4 linked regions of the Schizosaccharomyces pombe genome follow. Changing the gene in region 4 together with the main gene of any one other region gives a genetic interaction. Each region holds a gene or a part of one and is shown on either strand. Other genes may lie near its edges. The genes, in order: tfs1, dcr1, swi6 and ago1.

The links.
Region 1: of ago1 (region 4) and tfs1, changing one suppresses a phenotype caused by changing the other (phenotypic suppression), as found in Schizosaccharomyces pombe (3 studies listed by BioGRID, with this or other methods).
Region 2: of ago1 (region 4) and dcr1, changing one suppresses a phenotype caused by changing the other (phenotypic suppression), as found in Schizosaccharomyces pombe (3 studies listed by BioGRID, with this or other methods).
Region 3: mutations in ago1 (region 4) and swi6 together harm fitness less than expected from each alone (positive genetic interaction), as found in Schizosaccharomyces pombe (3 studies listed by BioGRID, with this or other methods).

The regions. Positions count from the first base shown.
Region 1 is NC_003424.3:2,114,413-2,117,982, forward strand, and holds tfs1 (general transcription elongation factor TFIIS), read right to left. Parts: upstream 2,045-3,570; 5' UTR 1,970-2,044; coding exon 1,901-1,969; intron 1,844-1,900; coding exon 1,781-1,843; intron 1,606-1,780; coding exon 926-1,605; intron 863-925; coding exon 838-862; intron 789-837; coding exon 744-788; 3' UTR 501-743; downstream 1-500. Other genes in the region: protein dsc3, read left to right, coding at 1-351; ATP-dependent 3'-5'-directionality DNA helicase fml2, read left to right, coding at 2,457-3,570. UniProt on the Schizosaccharomyces pombe protein: Necessary for efficient RNA polymerase II transcription elongation past template-encoded arresting sites.
Region 2 is NC_003421.2:1,504,513-1,512,515, forward strand, and holds dcr1 (dicer), read right to left. Parts: upstream 6,046-8,003; 5' UTR 5,779-6,045; coding exon 1,654-5,778; 3' UTR 1,634-1,653; coding exon of another isoform or gene 550-1,633; 3' UTR 488-549; downstream 1-487. Other genes in the region: septin Spn6, read left to right, coding at 429-487, 550-1,633; ER to Golgi ceramide transport protein, lipocalin superfamily Svf1, read right to left, coding at 7,071-8,003. UniProt on the Schizosaccharomyces pombe protein: Required for G1 arrest and mating in response to nitrogen starvation. Ago1 regulation of cytokinesis and cell cycle checkpoints occurs downstream of dcr1. Required, indirectly, for regulated hyperphosphorylation of cdc2.
Region 3 is NC_003424.3:1,701,838-1,705,694, forward strand, and holds swi6 (heterochromatin (HP1) family chromodomain protein Swi6), read right to left. Parts: upstream 2,262-3,857; 5' UTR 2,165-2,261; coding exon 1,178-2,164; 3' UTR 569-1,177; downstream 1-568. Other genes in the region: Ino80 complex actin-like protein Arp8, read right to left, coding at 3,144-3,857.
Region 4 is NC_003421.2:332,041-337,589, reverse strand, and holds ago1 (argonaute), read right to left. Parts: upstream 3,512-5,549; 5' UTR 3,454-3,511; coding exon 3,325-3,453; intron 3,119-3,324; exon of another isoform or gene 2,954-3,118; coding exon 578-2,953; 3' UTR 520-577; downstream 1-519. Other genes in the region: mrps8 (mitochondrial 37S ribosomal protein uS8m), read left to right, coding at 5,107-5,549. UniProt on the Schizosaccharomyces pombe protein: Required for G1 arrest and mating in response to nitrogen starvation. Ago1 regulation of cytokinesis and cell cycle checkpoints occurs downstream of dcr1. Required, indirectly, for regulated hyperphosphorylation of cdc2.

The sequences.
Region 1 (3,570 bases), on a different chromosome or scaffold from region 4:
CGTGGTTTTGATCGTTTACGTGAAGCTGGTTTTACAGAAACCGAGGTCAATAATTTGCGTAGCCAATTTCATCGCTTACGAGGAACTAATTTGGATTCACTCACGGAAGACGCTATCAGAGAGGCAGAAGACGATTGGATTGACAATGGAGGACAAAACTCTTCTGCCGACGAACTTGACATGTCATATGAAACCTTGTTGGCTGGAGTATTAATAGGCTTTTTTGGAGGAGCTATTGCTTGTTATTTTCTTTGGGAAAGGACAATGTTCTCTCTGAGAATGCAATTATCCATTCTTGTCGGAATTATTTGCAATTTTGCATACGGCTTATTACACTCGTATCGATGGTAAACCCGTTCATTTTTGTTAAAATTTTTGTCCAATACAATTAATCGTTCCACTTTTCGTTGCACTTGTTAATTATGACTACAGTTTAATTGAGGATTAATAATGTCGAATTTTATGATCTATTCGCTTTGATCAAGCGTTAACTTATTAAATGTACGTTTAAAACACCATTTGGATTTATTAAGAAGTGTAAAGTAGGATAACTGTAAAAGTGTCGTATTGAGTGTGCAAAAGTAAAATATGCATATATTCATCGCTAGAATGAAAGATACCAATCAGATCCTAAAACAAAAAAAAACACACACAATAGAGGAGAGTGCTTCTAAAACAATAAAAAGAAGAAGAAATATGAAGGATTATTTTACAACCGGTATCTAAATGGGCTGACCCAAGATTTAAGAAAATTTCCAGCGATTTCCGCAAACAGTACATTCACAAAACTAAAAAAAAATTAGTCCAAATATTCTACCCAAATAGACTAATGCTTACCGTTGTCATAGGCTCATCAGCAGATCTATACGGATTGTTAATAAATTTTACGCGATAAAAAGTACTAAAATCATGACAAATAACATACCTTGTTTGCATTTGGTAATAAGAAACTTTTTTTTGCTTACACTTCCCACAAGTAAAAAGGTCTGTAACAGCTTTTTGGGGTTTAGCACCTTGCGCATGGAATAAATTTTCTTGTTCTAGCTTGGCATCTTCCTTGCGACGGTCTTCTGAAGCCAATTCGGCAGAAGTCATGGTACTGAGTCTTTGCGGAGTAATTTCATTTCGTAATACTGATGCTCTAAGTTTCGGGTTATTTTTATCTTTAAGATTCATATACAAGGACCGCATTCTGTTTCGATATTCAGAACCAGTTTTACCTGCTGCTCTAGCAAGTACTTGCGCATCAATTTCTTTGGCTTTGGCTATTATTAATGAAGAAGATTCATCCGAATCTATGACTAATGCATTGTACATTAATCCAATACAGTTGTTGCGAATCTTGTCATCAGTCACATTGACGTTCACATTATCAGATTTAAAAGTACGCTGACCACTGCTGCTTTGTTTTTGAACTTGTTTTTGAGCTTGAGAACCTACATCCGCATGTTTAGAAGGCGTGGAGGAAGTTGTAGTTGTGGTTTTCAATGGACGACCTTTACTAACATCGGCTTTCCATTTTTTTACAATTTCCCGAGCTTGCTCACCAACTTTCTCATTGGGATGAGATCTGAGCTTGCCAACGACTAATCCCAGCCGGGTTTCCTAGCATCATTGGTTAGTATTTTGAATACCGATTCTCCATCAAATGTTGGTACTCTTGTGGAATTCGTATTTTAAGAAAGATGTTATTTCTATTAAGTGAAATTTGCAAAATTCATGTAATATATTGTCAACAATCCGTGCGAGAATACTACCATATTGCATGTAATAAACCTACCTTAAGTAATTCTTCGGTAGCAACTACTTCATTTTTTAAACGTGTCATAATGTTAATTATAGTCTAGCTTGATATTAGCTTCAAAACCATCTGTAAGTCCCAATAGCACAAATTACAAACCTCTATATTCTTTCCCTGAATAGCTTTTTCCAAAGCTGCTTTCGCAGATCGGATATCAGCAGAGTCCATGATTCAAATTAAGTTCGAATACTGTAAACACTGCTGTTGGTTAGCAGATTGCAAAATTAATAATCTTATGGTGGTAGAGGATTTATTTTGGATAACGCGCTTTACATCTCACATGTCTACTAATACCGTTGTGATTTTTCTTCACCACCATAGTTGCTGATGTGAATATCAACACCCCGTAACGTGATTTTGTTAGTTGAATTCTTGAGTTTGACAGTTTTTTTTTCAAGTTTGCAAACTGTTTTCTGTTTATCGCATTAGTACTCGTGTTTATTTTACAACGTTAAATTTTCATGCTCCTCCGCTGACTTGATCTTACTCAATTGTTAATTGTTTTATCAGCTTTGTTTATGAAAAGCAAAGATTATAATGTTGTTTGATCAAATTGAAGAAACTTGATGTTCAAGAATTTAAAAGTTTGATATTCAGTTTATTTTTGAAACTTACTTTGGTCTATGTGTTCGTTCGTTTTCATAAATTTAGTTTCATGATTGTACTGAGAGACTCAAGTGACTATTCCGACTCTGAAGTAGACCTGCCAAGTATCGAGGTGAACGGAGAACGAGGAAATGTTCCTACCTCAGTGCTTTGTAATGTTGAAGGATCTTTGTTGAATTCTAATCCTGCTTTAAGGCAACCAAATTTGAAATGTATAAAACATAATCAAGACGTTGAAAATACTACGTTTCAACTAGACTTGCGAGGCTGTAGGGTTCCTTCTTCTCAACCTCAAGTTATAACTGAGTTAGAAAACAATATTGACATTCCAAAAAATATTGATGCAATGCAAAACTGGATTTTTCCACAGACTCAGCAGTATAGAAATTATCAAAAGGAATTTTGTGAGCAAGCATTATTCCACAATTTATTACTGGCTCTACCTACTGGGTTGGGAAAGACATTTATTGCGGCAGTGGTCATGTTAAACTATTTTCGTTGGTTTCCTGAAAGCAAAATAATATTTCTTGCCCCCACAAAACCATTACTGTTGCAACAAAGAGTTGCTTGTTCCAATGTAGCGGGAATGTCACCAGGTGCTACCGCTGAATTGAACGGTGAAGTATCACCGGATCGTCGACTTTTCGAATACAATACGAAACGAGTATTTTTCATGACTCCACAAACACTCCAGAATGATTTAAAGGAACATTTACTGGATGCCAAAAGTATTATTTGCCTGATATTTGATGAAGCTCATAGAGCTACTGGCAACCATTCGTATGCTCAGGTTATGAGGGCAGTGCTTAGATCTAATAGTCATTTTCGAGTCCTTGGTTTAACCGCAACTCCAGGATCTTCTACCGCCTCTGTTCAAAAGGTAGTAGATTGCCTCCATATCTCCAAACTCATTGTTCGCAACGAAGAAAGTATAGATATTCGCTCATATGTTTTTCATAAAAAGATTCAGTTGATTAAGGTCACGATCTCCTCTGAAATGAATATTTTAAAATCGGACTTTGCTAACCTATACCGGCCATATTTTAATTTTCTCCGTCAAAAAAAACTTATACCTATCAATTGTGAATGCCTTAATATAAAAGCTTATACGCTTTTCGTTTCTTTACGAAAGTATTCCTTTAGTTCAAAAAATGTACAATCTA
Region 2 (8,003 bases), 1.2 Mb from region 4:
CATTGGAATATGACTGTCTTAAAAATAAAAAAAAGTACAATTTACGTTTTGTGTTTTTTTTGGATCAAGGCAGTTAATTCAACAGAAGTTCATATTTAGTCTTAAAAATTAATGTTTATTCTTCTAATGATTAAAGAGCTAGTAAATTTGAGCATCGTTTTTATTTGTATTCTTGTTTCAACTCTGGTAAACCAGGATTATGAAAGTATTTTGGTACAAGATGTGAAAAAGAATTAAAAGTCTTCTATGTAGATAATTTAATTTGTATATTTAAAAATTTTTGATGAGGCATATTTATTTATTTATCTGTGCTTTTTATCACTGGACATTCGGTTGTTTGTTTATATTTCGCTGATAAACGCTGTTTGAAACAAACCTGAACCTACTAAAGAGCAAAATACAGATAGTTCGAGAAATAAATTTTTACGATGTCTTTGACTGAAAACCTTCAATTATTATTAAATTTGGATAGTCTACCATCCAAAAGGTATGTTATCGTTACAATCTAGTCATAAATTCATAAATCATTCATTAACAAATATACCACAGAGAAAATTTAATAAAAAGAAAAGAATGTGGTTTAACAATCATGCTTTGCGGAGCCTCAGGTACTGGAAAAACAACGTTCTTCAATACTCTTTTTGCTACTTCTTTGCAACCAGAAAAATCATATGAAACGGCTAAGGAGACCATAGCCAAAAAGACCTTAGAAGTTAAAAAGAATAAGGCCGTAATTGAAGAAGATGGTTTTCATATCAATCTTACGGTGCTCGACACCCCAGGGTTCGGTGATTTCATTGACAATACCAGTTGCTGGAATACGGTTGCAGAATATTTAGACGAACAACACGAAAGGTATCTAATTCATGATCAAAACTCTCTCCGTGTACCAAGGAAAGACACTAGAGTCCACGTTTGTCTCTACTTTATTACGCCAGTTTCGTTTGGAATGCTTCCTTTAGATGTGTTAGCTATGAAGGAGCTATCGACCCATGTAAACCTTGTGCCAGTAATAGCAAAGGCAGATACATTTACAACTCCCGAATTAACACAAATAAAGCAAAAAATTAGAAGGATCCTGGAAGCTCAATCAATCGACGTTTTCCATCCATCAACAGAGTATTCTGATTACGAAACTGCCGAATTACTAGATTCATCCTTACCTTACGCTATCATTTCCAGTGTAAATGAAGTTTGCAAAGACGATGGGGAAAAATCGCAAGGGCGTCGTTACCCATGGGGAACCTCTGAAATATATGAAGAAACACATTGTGATTTTTTAAAATTGAAGAAATTGCTAATTAATAGGCATATGCTCGAGCTTATAAATACAACTGAAACCAACATCTATGAACGATATCGTAGAGAGCAGCTTACGAATCGAAAGAGTGGCATTCCTAAGCTGAAAAAAGAGCATTACGAACGCTTGAACAATGAGAAACGTGCGATTCAACAAAAGATAACACAAATGACTAATGAAACTGAAAGCTTCTTTCAGGCCAAAGAAGAGAAAATGATTGAAACTCGAGATGCTTTGAATTCGGAACTTTCTGAATATCACGAAAGGATCCGTGCTTTGGAGACCCAAATTGAAAGTTTGAAAAGTTACAAGGGCCGCGGTCATAAAAAATGAAATACTGTATATTTCAAGTCTCAAGTCAAACTTTTAACTTTTCCATCTCCTTTTATTTGCTCATCTGATGGCTTTTTCTTACTAAATTTGCAATTACAAGAATACAAAAGTAAGTTAGACTTATCCTCTAACAATTTGAGAAGTCTTTGTTTCATAATATACTTTGCATTGGCAACTTTACGGGATTTGCCGTAAGCAACAATATTCCCGTGGCGGAAGAATGAAAACCCATAATACTTTGTTAAATGGAGTTCAGTATTTAACAATGTTTTGTGACTGGATTTCACCTCCTCGATGACACACTTTGTTCCGAAGTCTTCACATCCCTGATCTTTCAGTAATTGGTATACCTTGTGTTCAATATCTCCTTTAGCCTTAGTATGTGTCGCATCCCCTAACGAATTAAGAAAAAGAGGTAAAACGAATTGTAGAGATTGTAAACTAAACCCAGAATCCAAAAAAATGGCACATATCATAGCTTCTAAAGTATCTGAAATGAACTTTGGTGAATCAATTTCAAACCAGAACCACGGATTCTCTGAAGCAGTCTCCCTGAACGCTTCAATTAATTCTTGATATTCAAATATTGCATCACACATTGCTGCGCTTTCATGTTGGATATATTTGTGCAAATTCAAAACAAAGCCAATGTATGATAGACTCTTGTTACACACATAAAAAGATTTGTAATCAGTTAATTCGCCAGAAGTTGCGTTAGGATACTTTTTATAAAGGTATTGTACGATAATGTAATCCAATACAGCATCACCCAAAAACTCCAACTGTTGATAGTTTTCGTAAATACCTTGCTGAGACATCATGGAAGGATGAATAAATGCCAAATGGAGTAGTTTCTTGTTTTTAAATGAATATCCAATAGTTTCCTCTATATACGAGGAGTAAGGGAATTGAACATTTCTCAGTGAATCCGCATATGTATTTAAATCAAAATAATTGTTCCACTCATCCCAATTGCTGATATCCAGCAGACCAACGCTTAAAGATTTACAGATCTTGAGTGCTGAGTCAAGTCCACTGTCTAAAAGACATGCACCGATACTAGCTTCGACCATATCTGCTATCCTCTTAACCGATAATTTCTGTAAAACGGCGTAGCGGCACTTATCCGATGTGCTTTTCTGAAAACCATATGGACACCAATGACGGATTTCCAAGGGAGTCGAGAGAGCATACTTCGGCAACTCACAATCTATTGCTACTTTATACAAATTACAGTTGCTAATAATTTTCTTTCGATTAAAATGCAGTTGGTACTCTTGAGTATCAGGAAATTTCAAAAAAACTGTAATAGAAGCACCCAATTTTAGAAAGCAGTCTCCGTAAAACTCTAGACGATCGTAATCAAAATTCAATTGTGATTCCGCAGATGTTAAAGCCTGACAAGCAGTGTCAATTTTACAATCAAGTCGAAAGTGTTCGATAAAAGAAGAGGCGACCAATAAGTTTTCAATATGGTACAGTATGGAGGGTATTAGCAAGGCGCTGTTTTTCAAATGTCTAGAGACTGGGAGAATATAGAGGTCATTGATATAAAAACTGCGCACTTGCTGTGATTTGGGAATGGATTTAGCTCTATTGCCCCAAAGTGAATAATTTAATCGTAAAGGAAGTTTCTTACATAAGGCAGAAGGGGCCTTATCTTTCTTTTTAGCAGGAATCATAAATTCAGAATTGACAAATCCCTCAAAAGCATACTGTTCATATATTGACTGTGGATTTACTAATAATACAGTATCGGATTGCAAATCAGTAACATTTTGAACAGGTTCCGGTAATTTAAAAAAATTTTGGATAGTGTCAACATCTATCAGATTTTCTAAGAACCGGTAATCCGTGCATGACAAATTTAAAGGCGCAAGCCAGTAAGGAGTAGGTATTTGTTGCTCAAGAGAAGTAGATAAACCGAATTGAAGTAGATAACGAGTTGATTTTTTTAACAACTCAAGCAGATGAGAATCGATCTTAAAACTATCCTCAATCGTTTCTAAAACAATTTTAACTCGGGGGCCAACAGTCGAATTAAGAATAAAGCTATCAATTTTGGGGAATGAATGAGCTTGTACAAACACTAAGGGATGGAATATATGATTGTCTCCTTCATTAGCATCAGTATAAAGTAAAGAGACGAAGCAACGTGTAATATCTTCAGGAACTTTCATCCAACTTTTTGGTACATAGCGCTCATATGTCTCGATATAACCTTCATCTTTTAGCTCGTCTTCCTCAAGAGTTTCAAGGTCGGCAATTTTTCTTCTAAAATCTAGGGGTTTTAAATGTTTGTCTATAAGACCCATACGAATCAGATCCAAACACATGATGAACGCAGCATTCTGTTTGGCTTTCCTAATTGATTTAGCGGGAGATCCTTGAGCCGCTGGAACTTTGCAGGCTTTTGGCAATTCTACCTCAAAACAATACCAACCTGAAAGACAGGGTTGAGCTGTAAAAGTGGGATAATATCTTGTGTATACGTCTCTTGAAAGTGTGTTACAAAAGTTATAAAGCAGACTAACTGCATACAACCCTGTGAGTAAAGCACCAGTCTCGCCAACTTCATAGACGATATCATCAGTCACACGTTCTCTTTCCTCACATACCAATGAATCAAAAATATTCGAATTGCTGAGCTCTGAAAGGGCAAATTTAAGATTTTTTTCTTCGTGTAGAATGCGTTCATGAATTAACAACTCTTCTGTGTTTAAAAAAATTAGAAACTTTGAAGCCATTGCTCTCGCTCTACCTCGAGATTGGACATACTGGGTGACAGTCCGACAAATATTGAAGCGTATAACTAAGTTACATGATGGTACATCGATACCTTCTTCTGCAACTGCAGTAGCAATTAAAACATTATATTTTCCAGTCTTAAACTTATGAAGGGTATCTTTTTGCCTCCTGAATGTCATAGAAAATTCACCCTGATCGGACGGTCCATGTCCTATAAAAGAATGAGCGCGGATGTTAGGCAGATTAAGAGTTTTCATAAACAAACTTAAAGTAAACGCCGTAGCTTTTCTTTCAACGAAAATAACCGTACGAACGCTATCACTTTTGCGGTAAGTAGCCTTTAACAATTCTAAGAGTTTAAAGACTTTATCAGTAACATCAGTGGAATCAAAAACAGGGATTCTAGGGCCATTGTCTGAATATTTGTTATTTTTCCAATCTTCAACAAATATTTTTAACCGGTCAATTGCCAGTTCCTCGTCATCTGACAACTGCTTCCCTAAAGCCTTTTTTTTTAATCTTTTCGTTTCCACAAAATCAACCAAATATAACCAAACTTGCTCCCCAAACCAAAGACCCATATCTATGGTTTCTGCTAAAGCAGTCTTAACAGCCCGAGAAATTAACTTGCATCCTTGAAGAGTTTCCTCGCATTTCTTGATAATAGAATCCGAGGGTGGCACAACCAACTTATTGGAATACATTACATAGCTTTCTTCGGGAAGACAGAAGTAATCGGCTAGCTCGTTTTCCGAAACCACGTGTGCTTTAGAATCAAATAATTGCTCCCATTGATACAGTCGATGGTATAAGTTTCCTTTTTTTCCAGTGAATGGTGAAGCAGTCATACCAAAAATTCTTGGTAGGGTGAAATGTTTTTTTGACAATACTGCTTTGGCTCTGTGATAAAAATCATTCATGATGCGAGCATACGCATCATTTCCAATTGCATGATGACATTCGTCGAATATAATTAAATTCAAATCATTTATTGAAAGAAAACCTCTTGCAAGAAACAAATAGAACAAATCTGCAGTAATAACAATCACATTATACTTCAATATAATATTAGTCAACAACTGCTCGCTCATTTCTATAGATAATTCGCCATAAAACATGCCAACCTTAGCCGGTAGTTGAGATCGAATGTATTCCGCTTGTTGAAATACCAAAGGGACTTTGTTGACGAGAAAAACTGATATTTTTTTATGTTCAAGATTTGATTCTTGGATTAAAATTTGCTCCTCGAGCTTTTGTTTTATCAACTTCACAGCAAGTAATGTCTTACCAGCGCCCGTTCTCATAACAAGTAAAGTATTTTGCTTGCTCGCGATATTATACACATCTTGTTGATATTTACGTAAAAGTTGAGGAAGTAGAAAACTTGAAATATCCATTCAAAAAGAAAATAAAGGCGGAAGGTTTCATTCAATTGACGAGAAATTTGTCTCTTAAAAAATAATGAATCCTAAGCTATTCAAATAAACATGCATATGTTCATCTTTACCAGAAGAAAAAGAACAATCACACGAGCAGAATACTTCCTATAATTGTTTGTGAGATTGATAAAAACAGACGCAATACTATTGATAGCTTCTAAATTCGTTGTTAAGGGGAATCATTACACTTATAGATTCTGGTGTTTTAAGAGAAAAGTAGGTGGTAGTTTTTTACAACATAAGTTACGCACTTTAATAAAAAATGATTAAACGCCTATGCTTTATTTTAAAATGTTTAAAAAAAAAAAAAAAAAAAAAAGGAAAATTGCATATACATATTATTATTAAATCAATATTATTGAATGAAGAAAGGACTGTACGACTTGCTTGTAAATCCGTGAAATTCAGTTACGTTGAATTACTGGTTTCCAATGCTTTATGCTAGAATGATTCGGTTTTTTAAGAATTATTTACATAATATTTTAATAATAAATACATACATATATATCTGTTTACGCGTTCACTGCCTGCTCTTATCGGAACATAGGAAAACTTATTAAAAAAATATTAGAAAACATTAAACATACAATACTTTTTTATTATAAAGTGGTAAAAGCGAAATTATCAATAATAGAAAAACTGCTTTCGTAGAAAACCAATACAACATTTACAATGAATTAGTTTTTTAAATAAAATAGAAGTTGAGAAGTTGCTAATTAGTATCCACTTAATGATGAAAACAATATTATTTGAAGTCTCTAAAATGAAAAGTATTCAAATTTTTAAAAAATTTTAAAACATTCTCGCTCGTTTACACAGACTGCAGTCTTTCAATAAACATAAGCGAATGCACAATTTTGCCAGATGCCTTGCCCATGTCCATCAGTATAGGTATTAGGATGACAAGATCGATTTAGTACACAAACAAGAGAACGAATGAATTTCAGAGCTTGTAGCACAAGACCATTAACAAGAATCATATTCAATATGAGAGCAGCACAACTATCAAGTTCAGAGTATAAGTGATAAGTCTATATGAAGTTATTTTAATAAAACGAAAAATAGTATGAAAAAAAAATTCGAAGACACGAAATTAAAAACAACAGGACAAAAAAAAGGAAAAAAAGAATACAAAACCAGAGAGTTTAATATAGAAAAGCTCTGAAAAAAAGATGGATGCACGTTCACTCTTTGTTTAAGCCCAAAATGCATCGAATTATTTATGCTTGAATATTTTTGTTAAAAGATGCTTATGAAATAAAAGTAGTCTCATTAAAAAGCGTGGCTTCATCTTCAATAACCTCGTCACCCATCTTCAGTGTAAATTTGACAGGTGAGAAATATTGGTAGATGAAAGGTTTCGTTCCAGAGACTCCATGGACGAAACCCTTAAGCCAAGATGGTATCTCGGCAAGAACGTCGATGCGTTGAAGACGTCTTCCCAAAGGAGCATCGACTGAAAGATGAATATCTTCGGTGTATGTTTCAGCATCCTTTCCGTCCCATTCGTAGGAAATGCGAGTGGGTTCATGCCATTCCGTATCGGGATCGAGTGTGGTCTCAACGTGCTCAATAGTATTATCGACAGTTGCACTAATAATTTTGTCTTTCATAGCGATACCACCAATATTGACAATAGTAGAACCATAGCTAGGGGGTGTCTTGAACTGCATCATGATGGCGGTAAACTTTTTATGCTGCAAGAGGGCAAACTCCCAAGATGAAGCAAGATGGTGGGGTTTGCCATTTTGGAGTGCATGAACAAACATGCCGGGACCAGTGACATCCACAACTCTACCCCTTGCAACGATGCTACCTTCAACACGAGTGCGAGGCCAAAAGGTATGCTTCATGGAAGCCCAGGGCTTACTAGGATCTGTTCCATAAGTAGAATTTCCATCTTCACCGATTTTAAAAGGAGGAGCGTCTTGATGGACAGTTATATCGATGATGGAGTCCATGTTGATGGAGGCACGAATTCGGTAACGCTTTTGGTCTTCCAACACGACAGAGCAATTTTTGGCGACAAAGGAGGTTTTGTCATTTTCAAAGCTAAATTGATCCATGTTGGTAGAAGTCCACAAATCGTTTTCAGGATGCTTCAAATCGAAAATGCGACACGTAGATTGAGCGGTGGTTGTCCAAGAACCCAAGTTGGAATGTATCAATTGAACAAAGCACAT
Region 3 (3,857 bases), on a different chromosome or scaffold from region 4:
AGAGGTATACACAATTTGAATAGAAGTCATATATATAACAAAAGCGCAACTTGTGACTAATAATTAGATTAAAAACAGTTAGAAATATAATAGTTATTATTTAATTTTTTAAAAGTCTTTGAGGAGCAAGCAAAAAGTCCAAGTGAGAACTCTGTTGTTCAGTCTCAGCATACAGTAGTGTCAATCGATAATATGTATTGCCGAGAGGGGACTGATGTCTTCATGTGTTGCTAGCAATAAAAAAAGATAACAAGGAAATTCGATAAATACATGTTCATTTGCAAAGTTTGCCATAATTTGCCATTATGTGTTTATATGGTAAATCTGCCAATCTGACATAAACATATTTAAAAAAAAAAAAAAAGAGGAACAAAATATGAATTTATCCCAGCTTCTTAGAAAAATAGCATAACCAGACTTCTTCATCATAACTTGCTTGTATTTTTTTTTGCTAATGTACAAAAGCAGCAACAATTAAAAATCTATAATTACAACTGTGTTTACATAGCAACAATTACATTCAAACCCTTATTTATCTTTAGCTATACAGCTATTCTCAAACGAATTTCTCAAGAGGCAACATAGTACTTGATAAAGATTCAAACTTGATACACTACATCTTGACCCTATCTTTGAGTTCAGTTGGTAACCCAAACTTAGAAGCATATGGAACAGAAGAAACGGAGAAGGCAGATATTCATGCACCCTCATTTTTGTTAACAAATTTATCTGCTGAGGTTTATGAGTAACGATTTTGCATGCATAAATTCTTTATTTAACGAGTAAAATTACGTTATTATTAGACACGATTTTGAATGCATGAAGAGCAGTGCATGCTAAATTAATAAATGGTAAAATTAAAGAAATTAGGTTATCTAGAATGTCAAACCTTAGGTTATTTAGAATGTCAAACCATAACGACAAAAGGTATTTTACATTTCTCAAGTCACTCGTAATCAATTCAATGTGAAAGAAAACAAAGGCGTTCATAAACTAGAATGTGATGTTAAGCGCCTAACAAAAATTTGTATAAGTATAATGTTAGATGCATTTTTCGAGTAAGAGAACAAGAACTCATACTACGACACGGGACTTGATAAAAGCAATAACGTCAGAAAAAAGCGAAATCTAATTTATAAACAAAAGAAAAAGAATTTTTTAAAGGAACACAAAAAAATTATTCATTTTCACGGAACGTTAAGTGGCTTTCATAAAATTGAAGCATCTTCTGAGGACATTTTTTATTGGTGATAGTACTAGGATGATGAGATATTGCACCGTTCTTCCAAGTCAGATAAATTTCCAAGGTTCCATCATCTTTTCGTTCAATTGTATCGATGCTAGATACCAAGTCTTCCCAAGAATCATAGTTTTCTACTTGTTTAACCGTCAGCTCTCTGTTGTCCGGAAGTTTGGGAACTTCCGGACTAGGCTTCTTTTTCGGAGTAACATTGCTAGGGGTCTCTGCTATTTGAATATCCTCACTTTCATTCGATTCTTTTTGTGAAGGAGATTTAGACTCATTGTCAGATTCAATGTGACCATTCGGCTGACCAGAAGGTGGGCCGTTCTCATTAAATTCCTCTTGCGATTTATCGGCGAATTTAATAGTTTTCTCATTCACATCTTCAATCTTTTCATTGGAATCTTTGTCGTGTTTATCTTCATCAGTTTTACGAGACTTTGGTGAAGGCTCCTTTGCTTCGGGCTTTTTAGGTCTTGCAGTCCTCTTTCTTTTAGAAGGTTCTGGTCTTCCTCCATGTTCATTCCAATATGCTTCTATCAACTGTTTGCAACCGCTACAATCGGCTTCTGAACTCCATGTATTATCACTGGGATCGTCATAACCTTCCCATTTCAAAAGGTATTCATAGCCTCCACCTTTTCTCGCCATACGGTGTTTTAAAACCTTTTCTACAACATATTCATCCTCTTCTTCTTCTTCTCCTCCTTCTTCTTCTTTGGCATTTTCTTTCAATTTCTTCGACGAAGATTTACTTTCATGATCGCTTTCAACTTCATTGTCCGACGACCCAGAGTCTGCTTTATGAGAAGCAATAGCCTCCTTTGTCATGCTTGGTAACTCTGGTTCCGAATCGTCGTCAATAACTGATCGTTTTGAAGTAGAGGAGCGCCGATAAGATCGAACACCTCCTTTCTTCATTTTTCACTTGTCTTAATATGAAAATAAACGAGATTTCAGAATATTTTAAAAAGTACTAAACATCAATTTCGCGTTGGTCTTTACAGGTTGTTTGCTCGTTTAGCGAGACATGTTTGGCTTGCTTTTCATGGTGTACAGAATGGCTAGCATCACATAGAGTTCGTTTATTAAAATATTGCATAGAAGTACTGTATTAATCGTTGTCTAAAAGTTGATTAACGACGCCTAATTTTGCTTAGATCACTATCAGTAATAATCATTATTTCAAAAGCATCTCAATTTCCTAGTGATTTACTTAATGCGAAATACGAAAATATTGAACAAATATTACCGTTAGAAATAAAATTAACATTTTAAGTAATGCTGCGAGTAACAAGATATTTGGCTGTTACGGTTGGCATGCTGATTTGTTTTCTAAAGCAATGCTGAGTCTCTCAAGATTGATAAACAATCTTAACTAGAAAACAATTCCACCTTTTAAATTTCGTAGGCAATCATCGTCAAACAACAAAATATATATTCTTATGAGGATTCTTTTTGCACTACATATTACACTGAATAACTTAAGTCGTCAACGAAGTCCCGAGTGGCTCAATCGGTTTAGAGCGTCTGACTCTTATGATGGTAATCAGAAGGTTGCGAGTTCGAGTCTCGCCTTGGGAGTTTATTTTTTCAATTTTTTTACAATGATACTACAATTTTTGGAATGTAAAGATTACTTAAATACAAAATGGTACGTTTAAAGAAATACGTACTTAGGGAAATTATGATAAATTCAACTTATTTGAGCACTCAAATATCAAAAAGAATGAGTAGTTGATGAAGTATCTTCAAAATTTCAAAAAACATGAACTTAGAGGCATCTGTACTGTTTTTGTAGACCATGGTTTATTAACATCTAAAAATAATGAAAAATAGCAAAAACATATGGTGTTGCATTAAAAAATTAGTAACGAATATGAAAGCATAAACATATGGTTTAGCCAGTCCAAAAATAACCCAATGTCTTGTATTGCAAGACACGGCTACCTAACATTTTCCAATCGCTGTTTTTTATCCACAGCTCCGATACGATCCGAATGCGATTGTATATACAAGCACCCTTCCAGGCAACAAATTGAGCATCCATACTTCTTGGTGGAGGAATTACCGAAATAGTAGGGATGTTGGCACGCTTGGAATGGATACGCTCTTCCAGTAAATGAGCAAAGCCCGGGAACTGACCAGCTCCACCGACGATCAAAATGCTTGAGTAAAGATTTTTTGCCTTCTCATCACTTAAATTTCCATCACATGCACTAAATATACTCTGGTTGATTGCATCATCCAAAGGATATATCAGTTTCTCATTCTTTATTTCTGGAGCAGCAAGTGAGCCACAATATACTACCCGTGGAGGCTTGAATTTTACCGAAGGTGTCACCAAATCACTTTCTTCTTTTTTCTCTTCATCATCTTTTCCATTAGCTTTGATGTTGGATATCGGCGTAGATATTTGCAATAAAGTGGTTTGGGCAAGTGATTCGGGATTATTCGGTTGGTTGTCATATACATCGACCGGCACTGGAAACAAAGTATACCGATCATGAAGTTTATTTTCATTTTCAAAAATGTCAGGGCGAAAGAATCCAAGAGGTGCAAGCATTGTTTCGTCAAGGCTTTTAAATGTAAATTTTCTAGTCCCTTTATCAGG
Region 4 (5,549 bases):
AAATTATCATTATTGACTTGTTTTTGCTCCTCTAAACGAAATCTTAACACAGTATGCAATGTTTGGTTCTTGAACTTAACCCAAATACTCTAAAAAATTAGAAATTCTGATTCTCTTCAAACAGGCTGTTTTCAAATTTGAATGATTTTGCTTTGAATGATGTTTTTTCTTAATAAAAAAGCTAGATGAATCTGAATTAGACAAATAGGTAAATTGGTTGTTCAACCATTGTGCATGGAATTTATCGATTTTAATCACTTCTTCTGAGATCCTTAAGTATCATTTAGTTTATCTGTATTTCTATATTGGCGTGACACTTACATAAAGTTCGGGCTTTGGGTTAAGTGAATGTCATTAGTATTATCGTTATCAACATTTGTTGATCGTTGGAACATGGTCAAGCTATCAACAGTGGATAGAGCATAAAAAAACTAACATTAAATGATTAAAGAAAATTACAATAATATAAAGCAAAATAAAAACAGAAGCAGATTTAATAAGGAAGTAAAAGTTGTGGGCAATCCAGTAGTCAATCGTATATCTATTTCATTACTTATTGCATGCAATCCATCAAACATTACATATACCACATCTTTGTTTTCAATTTACTTGATAGAGCTAAAAGCGGCTTTACTTCTTGATCCATTGATGCTTCTGATGTCTCAACAAAAGTATCATCGGCTGTCACGTCTTGATAACGGGCTAAGTTACTAACCAAATGCGCATAATAAACAGGTGGAACCAAGGAAACAGCACTTGTTGCTCTTGCATAAACATAACAAAGATTATAACACAGTGTTTGGAATTGGTCCGGTGGCATCTGAATTTCGTCGTGCAAAACCGTGTAGTGAACTGGGACCGAAACGCCTTGCAGAGATGGGTGGGATATAAGGTAAAAATCGTACTGATAGGGGTGAGTAACATGCTTTTCAATAATTGTACCAGGGAGGGGATTTCCATTTCTATCTCCGTCGGATTTGTTCTTAATGAAGAAACGAGCGTGATGTCTCTTCTGCGTTGTGCATACTAGAATCTTTGGATTGTATTTTGGTGATAGACTATGACACGCTTCTTTAATCTGAGAAAGCTCATCGTTTATTACTGATAAAAATTGTCCTTCCGAGGTACCGTCACGGAAATAGATAATACGTTGTGGTTGTTGTTTAGTCATTGCCCTAAACCCTTGCAATAGATATACCACGATATCCTTCATTCCTTCAATCACTTCTTGATGACGAGGTTGGGAACGTGAAACAGCCGTATACTTGCAGCCATTTAGGTCTACCGATGCCACAATTGAAGCAATCGAAACACCTGTTGCACCAACCCCAGGGTGATAAACATCTCCACCAAGAATAAGAGTAGGAACATTTCCCAAAGGGTTGGATTTGGGTATCAACGAGCAATTAATTCCTCCAACCTTGACATTAATCTTCATGCCTAAGTTTGCACAGTATTGGGGCTTGCTTTGTAAAATATGTTTGCTAATAGCACATTGAGAAGGAACCCCTAACATAGTATTGCAAACACGTTTAATGGAACCATATGGTTCAGGCGAATTTTTATCCAAAATAAAAAAGAGATAGTCAGGAGGAGCATTACCAACCTGTTCAGCTTTTTTATATAACGTTATACATAGTTCTTCAACACTCCCTCTAATATCTGCATACAAAACTGGAGGTTTTTTCATAACAAAATTAATTCCCAACGAAGTGAGTGTTTGTACATATGTTTGCAGGAAATTTTCAATACCCCTCATAGGGAGTCTACGCGTTGAAGTAAAACACATTACAGCCCAAGATCTAATAGGAGCCCTCGGCGGATCAAGGAACCGTTTACCACGTAAATTCCAACGTCCACTAACGGGACGCTCAATGCAATCTCCTCCGTAACGAATAGAAGGAGTTTCTAAAACACGAGCTGGAACTTCGAGCATCTTTTTCTGAATTTTCATACCATATTGGGTTAGGTAGGGATCTGTATCCCAATCCATCTGATGGACAAAATCATCGATTTGCTGGACACGTTCGAAAGGTCGTTGGACCGCAAAACGGATCATGTTGGCAGTTTGATCACTATTCAGTTTTGCAGTATATCTCTGACCTTTTACAACAAAACAGAATTCAATAGGAAGCATCGCCCCGTTCTTTACTAATATGCAAGGTAGGTTAGGATATTGCAAACGAACATTGTGATTTTCAAGAAAGTATTCAGCTACAGAGATTTTTTGCTCTTCACCATTAAGACGGCGAACAAAAAAGCTATCACTGGCACTTTTTGAGGAAAATCCCTCGATGGAATAAACTCTATTCGCCAGGTCAGTACCGACATTATTGCGATGCTGACAGGTCACCTTTAGAAACCGAAACTTGCGGGAAAGACGTTTTAGGTCAAAACGTGTTAAGTCTCTAACGTTCGAGCAATCTGTGTATTCCATAAGGATCTGAAGTAAAGAATCATTACGCCAAAATGCACTCGAAGATATATCTACATTAACAGACATGAAACCCTGATTCGGTCGTATAGACTGGTAAAACCCTTTCCAAGCCTCTACTCCACCTCCAAGTGAAACTCCGTTTTCACCTGTAAAAAAAGAATGCATGAAGCCAAACAAAGTCTCAGATGGTTTCTTCTTTAACAGCAAATCCAGAAACATTATACTGCTTAGAACTTGCGGATCCGAAGAATACTTTGAGTTTACAAACTGGCTAAGAGTATGCAAATTAATTTTAGATGATTTTTGAATAGAGAATTCAATTTCTCGAGGGTGCGACTCACTGCCTATGTTTACCTTGATGGTGCCATCAGCAATATCACCTTTAGACCAACACATGCTTCGCCCATCATAAACAGAATTCATCCAGGAAGATCCAAAATACTGTTTAACTTCTTTAGAATTCCAAATCAACTGGGATTGCTTTCGTGGGACACGTGAACCATCACCTACTATGACCTACAACAAAAGGCGTTAATTTGATGCAATTCTACGTTAATGTACAAAATTTGAGGAAGAGATGAAATACAAAAGAAAAGAATCGTGCAATGCAAGACAGATACAAAATGATGTAGCAGGCAAAGTAAACAACAGAACATTAAAAGAAAGTGAGAAAATAAACCAGGTATAGTAAAGTAAAGTCGAATAACGAATGAAGCTAACAAGTACCTTTAAACAATTCCAGTAACACTTGCACGATTTATTTCTGTATTTATATTTATATTTCAGACAAGAAAGGCCACGTGTTCTGTTATGCTTTTACTTTAAATGTGTAAATTTCCTTTACAGTGCTCTAATTCCATAAAAATGTGCGATTTCTAGGAACTTACATGATACTGGTTGATAGTCTCGTTAGGTAAAGAAATGATTTGAAAAAAGTTAGCTTTCAAAGTAATCTGCTTGCCCAACCCTCCATAACCGGGACGTAAAGCTATTTCTGAGCTTGGTTTATACGACATCCTACTCACTCTGAATCATAAAGGACGAGTTGGCTGAAGACAATTCGCTTTGGCGGTTGGAAGCTTATATATACCAAACCCTAGATTAGGACTCATCATAGTTGTCTTGTATATAAAACCTACTTGAGTTATAAACTATATTAAATCAAAAAACTATCAAGAAAATATTTTATTTATCACTTTGTTATTTACATGCTTAATACATTCGAATTTTCTATATACTAAGGTCTATTTCTATACTTCTCTGAGCACGCAAACGCAACATAAGTCTTATTTAATTTCTGAACATAAGAAATATAAGCTTATCTTTAACAGCTTTTCTTAAATTACCGCATAATTTTGTATAGGTTTATGTTTTTTTAAAGGTTCCAAATCGACGGATTTTTGAGTTTTAACCCTTCTTTCTTTATATCGTGGTTGTGATTCAATAAAAGTGAACCCAATTGTTATTTGTAACCATTGACGAAAATTATAGTACATTGAATTACTATTTGTTTACTAGTTCTATATTAACAATACCGGGAGGTTCAAAATCAATGATTACTACTTGTTTTCTTTTTCTTGTTATATTTGCTTGCTTGAAATCCTCTTTATAGTTATAATACATTTTTACAACCTGCTTTTGAGAATATTAATCTGGCAACTTTCAAGTAAATGATTTCGGTAATTGCACTGATTTTTGAAAAGTGTTGATTTCGAACGTCTTTCAAATTAAAACGGACATTTTTTTATGAAATTAAAATGCCTTGTGCTTTGTGTAATACTCGTTAAACAGCTTACCGAAACTAACAACCTTTTTAAGAAGCGAAACTTAATTAAATCAATATATTATACTGAGTAAATCAGTAATTTCTGGACGATCGGCCACATAAAGAAGCATTATAAATCGTTCTCCATACTGTTAGGCTTTTGTTTTCAATTCACGTTTTCTTTTCTGTAATTAAAATATCAGTAAAGAATTCGTTATGCCATTATTTTATAAAAAATTTTTATAATCCTATACAATTGTGAATTTACATTGTATTCAAATGCTTTTTTACATCCCTATATTTTACAGGCGTTCGCTGTTGTACCGCTTGTTTTTTTGAACACTGCTTATTATAATTTTTTCGATTATTACATTTGCGAATACCTTTCGAGGATTTTGGAACTACTAAACGCACAAAAATTCGCTTCCCACTTCTGACAACTTTGTGGGTTTCATGGTAATTTGAATGCTATAATATTAACAGATTGACACAGCGATTTAGATCCATATTTTATTCTGTACAAAGTAAATCTCTAACATTTGGTAGACGGCTTTTGCCGTAATAACCGTTGGTTTTGCAATTTTGCGCCTTGTTTTCCAAACATAGTAAACCGGTGCTTTTAGTTTATTATATAGTGATTTATTGTGAACTTTAGTATCGTGTCGTTAATATACTACTATCCAGTGATTACTGCAATGTCCATTAACTTGCTAATAGTGTGTAACACTAGCTACACCGTTCACTACTTACTATTCTTCCAGTACAGAGAGAGGTATTTGGAAGTGACTAGCTAAACTGCATTCATACCTCTTTTCTTTCCTCAAAACACCATTCTGTATAGAAAAAAAAGGCTTTTATTGTTGGACTGCTTATAAAAGATTAGGATTGTGTTAAAAAAGTCGAAATGCAATTGCATTATGTTTTTTCGCATTTGCAAAATTCATTTCGCGCTCGCAAGTCGTTAGCAAGCGTTCCTAACTGTAACAGTGTGCTCGAGTTATGTGCTGTTTTGTATCATCAAGGATTTTTAAGCTCGATTCAACGCGGAGATATTCATGGACCCGATGCTTTACCCACAATCACCACTAGGCAAAATGTAGCGACCCGCCGTCTATGGTTGGGTTTAAAGTACTTTGAGGGAAAACCGGTTCTTCACTACATACGTGCAGTATCAAAGCCTAGTAGAAAGGTGAACTTGACTCCTTCTGAGTTGTTGCAATTTGCCAAAGGAAGGAAAGTTAGCTTTGTGAATGGGTTGGAGCCTGCAGAAGTTGGAATTGTAGAAACTAAACATGGTATAATGAGTATTGACGATGCAATTAAGAATAATTTGGGAGGAAACGTTAT